2 linked regions of the Caenorhabditis elegans genome follow. The protein of the gene in region 2 purifies or fractionates together with the protein of the main gene of each other region. This does not show direct contact. Each region holds a gene or a part of one and is shown on either strand. Other genes may lie near its edges. The genes, in order: C29E4.12 and mrps-14.

Evidence for each region.
Region 1: the proteins of mrps-14 (region 2) and C29E4.12 fractionate together in Caenorhabditis elegans (co-fractionation; one large-scale study listed by BioGRID). This does not show direct contact.

What each region holds. Positions count from the first base shown.
Region 1 is NC_003281.10:7,939,361-7,942,323, reverse strand, and holds C29E4.12 (Protein FMC1 homolog), read right to left. Parts: upstream 1,268-2,963; 5' UTR 1,171-1,267; coding exon 953-1,170; intron 899-952; coding exon 790-898; 3' UTR 710-789; downstream 1-709. Other genes in the region: Condensin-2 complex subunit kle-2, read right to left, coding at 1-425, 500-601; C29E4.10 (Putative galactocerebrosidase), read right to left, coding at 1,468-1,554, 1,598-1,845, 1,894-1,991, 2,271-2,701, 2,777-2,904, 2,949-2,963.
Region 2 is NC_003280.10:10,239,488-10,244,039, forward strand, and holds mrps-14 (Small ribosomal subunit protein uS14m), read right to left. Parts: upstream 3,004-4,552; coding exon 2,927-3,003; intron 2,436-2,926; coding exon 2,262-2,435; intron 2,144-2,261; coding exon 2,047-2,143; intron 1,179-2,046; coding exon 927-1,178; 3' UTR 818-926; downstream 1-817. Other genes in the region: F-box/WD repeat-containing protein mec-15, read right to left, coding at 40-201; nrde-2 (Nuclear exosome regulator NRDE2), read right to left, coding at 3,322-3,436, 3,699-3,802, 3,852-4,429, 4,490-4,552.

The sequences.
Region 1 (2,963 bases), on a different chromosome or scaffold from region 2:
ACTAAACAGCTTTTTCGCTCATATTGAGACTCTATAACTTCAGCATTCTCGACCATTCTCACTGCATCAATCGATTTTTTCTCTTCTTTTACTGTCTTCTCAAAATTTGCTAGAGCTTCCTGTTTCAGTGAGTCGATATCAGCCAAGTCGTAATTCGTCGATCCCAAATTAAAATTTTTCCGTCTTCCAGCTCCTCGTCTACTGCCGGTGTTTCCATCATCTTGACCTTTGTTCTCGACTAAATCCACAACTGAAATCGTCAGTTCATAGACATGATCTACTTTTCGACCATATACGGCACACGATCCTTGAATAATCCGGCATGCTCGTTGAAAATCGAACAATCTGTAAGTTGTCGCTGCATCCACCTGATTATCTGTGTCTTCACTTTCTTGTCTGATAACCTCGAGGTATCCGGCGAGTGCCTGAAAGTCGAGCAATTATTTATTTTATTTACCGAAAAAGAAAAGATACAACCGTGAAAAAAAATTATCCTTACTTTCAACACGTCGATTGAGAAGTTCTCGACAAGATCTTTTGCGGGTGTGACGAGCCATGCTAAATCTGTCGATTCTTGACCTGGAGGAGCATTCCTAGTCATTTGTACCTGAAACAACAATTCCAATGCTCTGGCGATGATTAACTATAAAAAAGATATAGAATGGTACGAAAACCATAAGGAAGTTATAAAAAACCTGAATAGTATTTTAAAAACGAAGTATTTTATTTTGATTGAAAAGAAAACAGGAATCTAATCTATTCGAGAAAGAAATAACAATTTTAAGTATTTTAAAGTTTCTTTTGTTCTGGAAGTTTCAATCCAACAATAGCAGCAGCCTCTTCAACACTCTTCTCGCCACCCTTATATCTCTCTTGAAGTTCATTAAGCTGTCGGGTTCTAAAATGAATGGATATTGATTATTACTTTCTTATTCTCATAAAACAAACGAACCCTTTAATATAGCTCAAATAGAGTTTTGCAACGCTCTCTGACTCGTTCTCGGCTTTTGAATATCTTCTTGTTGTAACCTGGTCGGCTTTCATTTGCTCCATGAGGTATTTATATTGTGCCGAATTCGGGGAGAATGTTTTGTCGACCTTTTTCAGTTCCGAAATGATGTTTTTGATGGTGTTGAAAGCGGTCACTCCTTTTCCAACAGCAGAGGCCATACTTTAATTTTGAAAATGTACAAAAAAGGGATAATAAATAGCACAATAACACAATTCAGACAAAAAAAGAAAACAGGAAAACGTTCTCAATTCAAACTGCGCGCGTGAGGCGCGCGTTGTTTAGCGAAACGCGGAGCATCGTTGCGGTACCATTTGCGCGGAAGTTTGAATCTAGTTTTTTGTGGCAATTGATTTTGACATTTTCCAATAATGTGGTAAATTATAAAATGGTACATTTATTTTAATAGAAACATGCCCAAGCAATATTAAATACTTTTTGAATGTAATTAATCAGCCTCAGTGAAAATAATCTGTTGAAATATTATCCCATTCGGAGATGCCAAAATTTCCAGTGCCAATCACGAATAAAGTGTCATTATTTGTCTGAAAACATTATATTTGAAATTCAATTGATTATTTTAATAACCTTATTTAATTGTTCTTCTGGAATTTCCACTGAAGTCATCACATGATGATTTCCGAATTTTATGAAGAGATGCGAGTCCAGTAAATGAATTGAGAATTTATAAAACTTTCCAAATTCTACTTTTCTTCGTGCTTTGAATTCAGCAATTATTGAACGGTCAACGAAATCGGAAAATATAGTTACTTTTTTATTTGAAAATTCAATCTCAACAAATATTCCACGACAGTTTATTACTTCTATGTCACATCCTGAAAATGTAATAGATTTTAATATGAATCACAACACTAATTACATACCACTACAATTACTCCTTATACCTAGAATGATGGATTTAGCTGTTGAGTGTTTTGGAATATTGACCTCGGCGTTTAGAATACTATTCTTCTTTCGATACCTAAATGGAAGGAATACCGTATACCGTATTTCCTCTATTAGTTTTGCACCCCTTTGCTCAACTTTGACACCTCATATCTCCTTTTTGGACATATAAATAATTAACAAACTACAAACTACAGAAAAAACATCTATCTAAATTTTTATCAGTTGACAACTTTTCTATAGAACAAACTACTACTGAGATATGAGCTGCCAAAGTTGAGAAAAGAGGTGTAAAAATATTAGAGGGAATACGGTATACTGTAGTTCCTCATAGGTCAAAGTCATCAATTCTTACGCCATAACTGCATATGGAGTTCGAATGTGTGAGGTGCACCAACTAATTGATGGGCGTGTCACTTTCTGTACCGCCCGTCCATTTCGTACCACCCATGATCCTTTTTGTGGCATCCAAAACTTTGGCTCCTCGTCGAATTCATAATTTTCAAAGTCGTCGTGATAATTCAAAGGAACCAATGGTGTTTTTATAGTAACTCTTTTCGGAGTTGAAACTGGAAGTGTAGTGAGTATTCCAAATGAATTAACAGGAAGAAGAATGGTAATTGTAGAATTGACAGATTTTGAAAAGAACTTTGAAGGTCCAAAGTTTAATGACATATTTAATCCTTGAAATGATGGAATTTCAGAGAATTTAAATCGAATAAGTTGACTTGGCTTGACATGGTATGGCCGTGGAGATGAATATTCGCATAAAGATTTCTTGTAACTCTGAAATTTTTTGAATTAAATGTTTATTCTCAAATCATTTGAAGCAATTTCTCATAATTAATATTAAAGTCTTACCATGGTTTCTACAAAAATGGTGGAATCTTTTCCATTTGTATAAGTGACATATGTTCCTCCACCATCAAATCTACCACTACTTTCTCTTAAAATCTTCCATCCTCGCTTAACATGAGAAGTAATGTATTCTGAAATAGTCGTGATTCAATTTTTTTGCACATTATTATCATACTTAGAACATGAAAAG
Region 2 (4,552 bases):
TAAAATAATTTTTTTCGATAAAATAGTAATAATACGAACAATTCTTCTACTCCAAAATTTGTCATCGTTTAATATCGTATTGAACCTTCTGCATACCAGTGGAATTTCTGTGATCAATTGTCGTTGTGGTAAATAGGTGAAAAGATGGCAAAGGAGCTCCGAAGGAAGGGATATGAGCTCCGTTGGTTGAGCATTTGTCATAAGGATGCTGTAAGAATAATGAGATAGATATTATGGGAAGCAGTGTTTCAGAGAAAATTAAAAATCGAAAAATTAAAATTTTCGATTTTCTGGAAAATCTTGAAATCTTTTTTTTACTTTAAATTTTTTGAATCAAACTTTGCCTGTTGATAAGAGAAAAAAAATACTTTTTCACTAAAAGGAAGCAAATTGACCGAAATTTTAATGTAATTTGTGAACAATGGGAAAACGAAAAAATAGCGATTTCTCTGGAAATTTTTTTTGAAGCCGACACCGCAGAAAAATTCGTTTTTTGAGATCAATGTGAAAGCGCGCTCAGCAGCGAAATGAGCAGGATCCGCCTCCAATAGTTGGGTCTCGTTAGGTATTGGAGGCAAAACAGTGAATCTCTGAAGCAGACATTTTTCGAAGACATCCTTGATTGCCGAAAAATAAAACGTTTGAATTTTTAGGCTTTTGCCGCCAATTAACTAACGAGACCCATTGTATTGGGGCTGTGGAGCACGCTCGCACACTGATGGACAGAAAAACATCTGAAAATAATAATTTTTCTGAAAAAAAAGTATTTTAATTGATCAATAACCAATACAGAGATATCATAATCTATATCACAATAAAACAAAAATAATTCATTAAGAGCATCGATAACAAAAGAAGTGTTCAAAACGAAGAAGAAATCAAAAATAGAAAACAAATAAATCTAAAACTACAACTCCTATCTCACACTACCACATGGCTCTTTGGACTCCACTGAGAGCTGATCTATCTGCAAATCGACGGAACAAGTGTCTACTCAATCTGTATGGCTTTATCTTTCCACGTTGTCGTCCTGTGAACTGGCACATATTGAGAATCAGACGAGGATGATCGTATTTTCGAGCTTTTTGCATTTTCTCGGCTGCTTCGTCACGAATCGCTTGCGGGAGAATTGTGTTGAATTTGATAGCTTTTAGACGCATACGATCCGCGCCGACTTCCTGAAATTAAATTTTAATCAAGGGCAAGCAGCAGGCCTGGGCTTGTTTAAGGCTTTTTTGTCAAAAATGGGGGTGTCGGGGGTTTTTTGTTACAAAAATGGGTTTTTTCTGGTTTTTTTGGTTTGTGGGGGTTTTTTTAATAAAAAAGGGAATTTTTTGGTTTTTTCGTCACAAAAAATGGTTTTTTTTTTGGGTTTTCTGTTTTGTGGGGTTTTGTTTTTTTAAAAAGTAATGATTTTCAATAACGATTTTTTGGTGGTTTTCGAATAAAAAAAATATTTAAAAAATTTCAGACATGTGAAAAGAAGCGAAAAACTTTTTTTTGTTTATGGAAAATTTTTTTTGGTGACAGCCCTGGTGTTTTTTGGTATTCTGGCACGAAGAAAAATGCGATTTTTTTTTTGTATTTTAAACAATTTATATTTTGTAAATATTCTTATGGTTTTTGATGTTTTTTAGCTCTGTCGGTAGTGGTGGCCGCTAGCAGTCTGGAGGTCACGAGTTCAAGTCCGGCCTCACCCCCTAGGTTCACCCAGCCTCTATTGGGAAGTGGAGCAATCCACGACTGGATTATCGGCCACAGTCCCCGGCTAGGACGTGGCTTAAATTACAGCCCAGAGGGATCACCACCAGGCAGTGTACCTGAATCCCAGATCCGCAGTGCATAGCACTTGAAGAACGGATCGTCCTTTAATCCTTTAATCCTTTAAAACAAATTTTTTGGCACATATGACAATATTCGTATTTTTTGGTATTTTTTGTTTTGGTTCTTTTACAAATTTCAATTTTTTTCCTTTTTGGTTTGAAATAAAAACCAAAAATATTTTTAGCACATATGACAATATTCGTATAAAAAATAGAAACCAACCTGAATCTGCTCACGTCGTTTGACATCTCTCAACTGACGCCAACTCGCCCAGAATGTCATTCGTTTTCCGGTTTTCCACCATTCTCTCTCCACGTATCTATAGAAACGTATATTCAATACAAGTGTATAGTTTATGTGCAATTCTTTCTCACTTTGAGAATAAAAAAGCGGCAGGCAATAATTTCAAAAATATACAAAAAAAACCAAAAACCTACAATGGATACTGATCAAGTTTCAATTTTGTAAGCGCCTCGCTAGAATATGGTTGAGTGATTCGTTTCTCTTTCATAGGTTCTCCAGCATCTTCTACAGATGTTGCCGGTTCCGTGGATTCCGTAGTCTCTTCAGATGATGGTTTTGCAGGTTCAGGAGCTGGAGTTGATAAATATCTGGAAATTGTTGGACATTTAAATTAAGCCATAAGACGATAATTCCTGTTTTCTCAGCGCGAGAAAAGGATTGAGTTCGAATAACAAATTTTGAAATTTGAAAACCAAAAAAAAAGTTTTCCATTTAGTTTTTTTTTCGAATAAAAAAGCAAAAATTGAACTTTTCGTCAAAAATACGAGTAATTTCGCAGGCCTCAAACGTTTTTTTTTGTTGAGAATTTTCGAATATTTTAATAATAATTGCATTTTACTTCTAATTTCAAGTGTAAGTTTTCGGAAAAAAAAGGGAAATTCTAAAAATTAATTTTTTAAAAACGTTTCCATTTTGTGGCAGGTTCACTTTTTTCAACGAAAAATTTTCGCTTAAACAAATTTTATAAATTGAAAGTTTAAAATATTCTCGAGTGTAAAAAAAGCAAAACATCAAAATTTTTCGCCAAAAGCAGGATTTTCGCATAGTTTAAATAATAATTAGAGAAATCTATACTCACCTTCTACTCATCATCATTTCATTCTTGTAAAGAGCCGTCGATAGTAGGTCCGCTGCTCCGCGGAGTGCCCTCAACATCTGTGCACATACATTGCAATACATATTTAATACAATTATTCATGCATGGAAGGAACTGGTTGGAGGAAGTGTAACCTCTTTCATGATGAAAGAAATATGACATTAAAACGAATATTTTCATTGTTGAAAACAAAAAATTTTTACCGAAACAAAAAATGCGAAAAGACAGAAGAATTATAATACAAAAATAAACATAATCTGTCGGATAGAAAGAACAAAAGAAAGAAAGATTCCTGGGATGAAATGAATACCGGTGGATAATTATATGGAATGGATTTTTAAAAAAGTTATAGGCCGAGTTACACAAAAAAGAGAGAATCAACGTCCGGATTCGGAATACTGTAGTCCAATTTCCTGCTGTGTTTTCATGTATTCCTCGTCGGTCACAAATAAACTATGCTCTTGTCCCATGCTTTGTTCGAGAATGAGGTAGCTGTAAATAGTGTTATTTAGAATGCATTGGCATGTGTGCTGATTATAATTGCATAGCGTTTTAATAAAATTTATTCGCTTTGTATTGTATTGTTGTATATAGACTAGACTAGAAATCGAAAAAAAATAATACGATTTAAATTAATTATACTTCGATAATTTGAACATTGTAATAAAATCAATCTTAGTTGATTATTTTCAAAAATCGGGCACAACAAATTACATTTTTGAACTGAAACTTTGCTCTCAATAATTGAACTTACATCATCTCCATTAGATCTCCATTCTTGCGGACAGTTTTTGCTTCAATATAATCAAAGTGCAAATTGAGAGCCCATGTACATTGACCTCTTGCACGAGTGTAAGCCTGTAAGAAATTTAAATTTCACATACAACCTTTTTTCCTGAAAACTCACATCGTCCTTTAGAATCTTCTGTGACAATTTACTGGCAACTCTTATAACTTGTCTCCAGATAGCCGGATCACGTGTATTAGCTGCTTCTCGTTTCCAATTTTTATAGAGGATTTGATTTCCGGCGTCTCCAATCCGGTTGGCTGCATTCATCCAAGAGAACATAATAGTCAACGAGTTCATGAGAAGACGAGTTTCAAGTTCTGGATCAAATTGCTGATCTCGTTTCGCATTCAAAATACTATTTCTGCTGTCGGTGAATCCTTGAAGCTTCATCACTTGCAGACGACCGCTGGAATGCAGCTCGCCGAGCATCTTCGCATATTTCGAATCACATGGGAACGCTTGCGATGCTTGGAAGATCAACTTTTTGAAGTTTTCATTGTAGATGAAACGGTGTTTTTTGTGCGAAAAGAAGGTTATGAGAGTGTCCGTGATGAATTTCAAATCGATCTGATCACAGTATTTTTCATAAGTTCCACGATTGAAATCATTTTTCTTGGCTTCAAATTGCTCGAATTTGGTGATCGCGTTGGCAATGAGGCAGTCGACTGCACGCCTGCTGAATGCCATCTTGTCCACTGAAATTTAATAAAATAATCAATTAATTTTTACAAAGACTCAAAGACTATAAAACTCACAGAAAACAAATACCGCCACAACTTTCAAAGCTTCGCACAGTGCCTCAGCTCTTGGTAATTCTG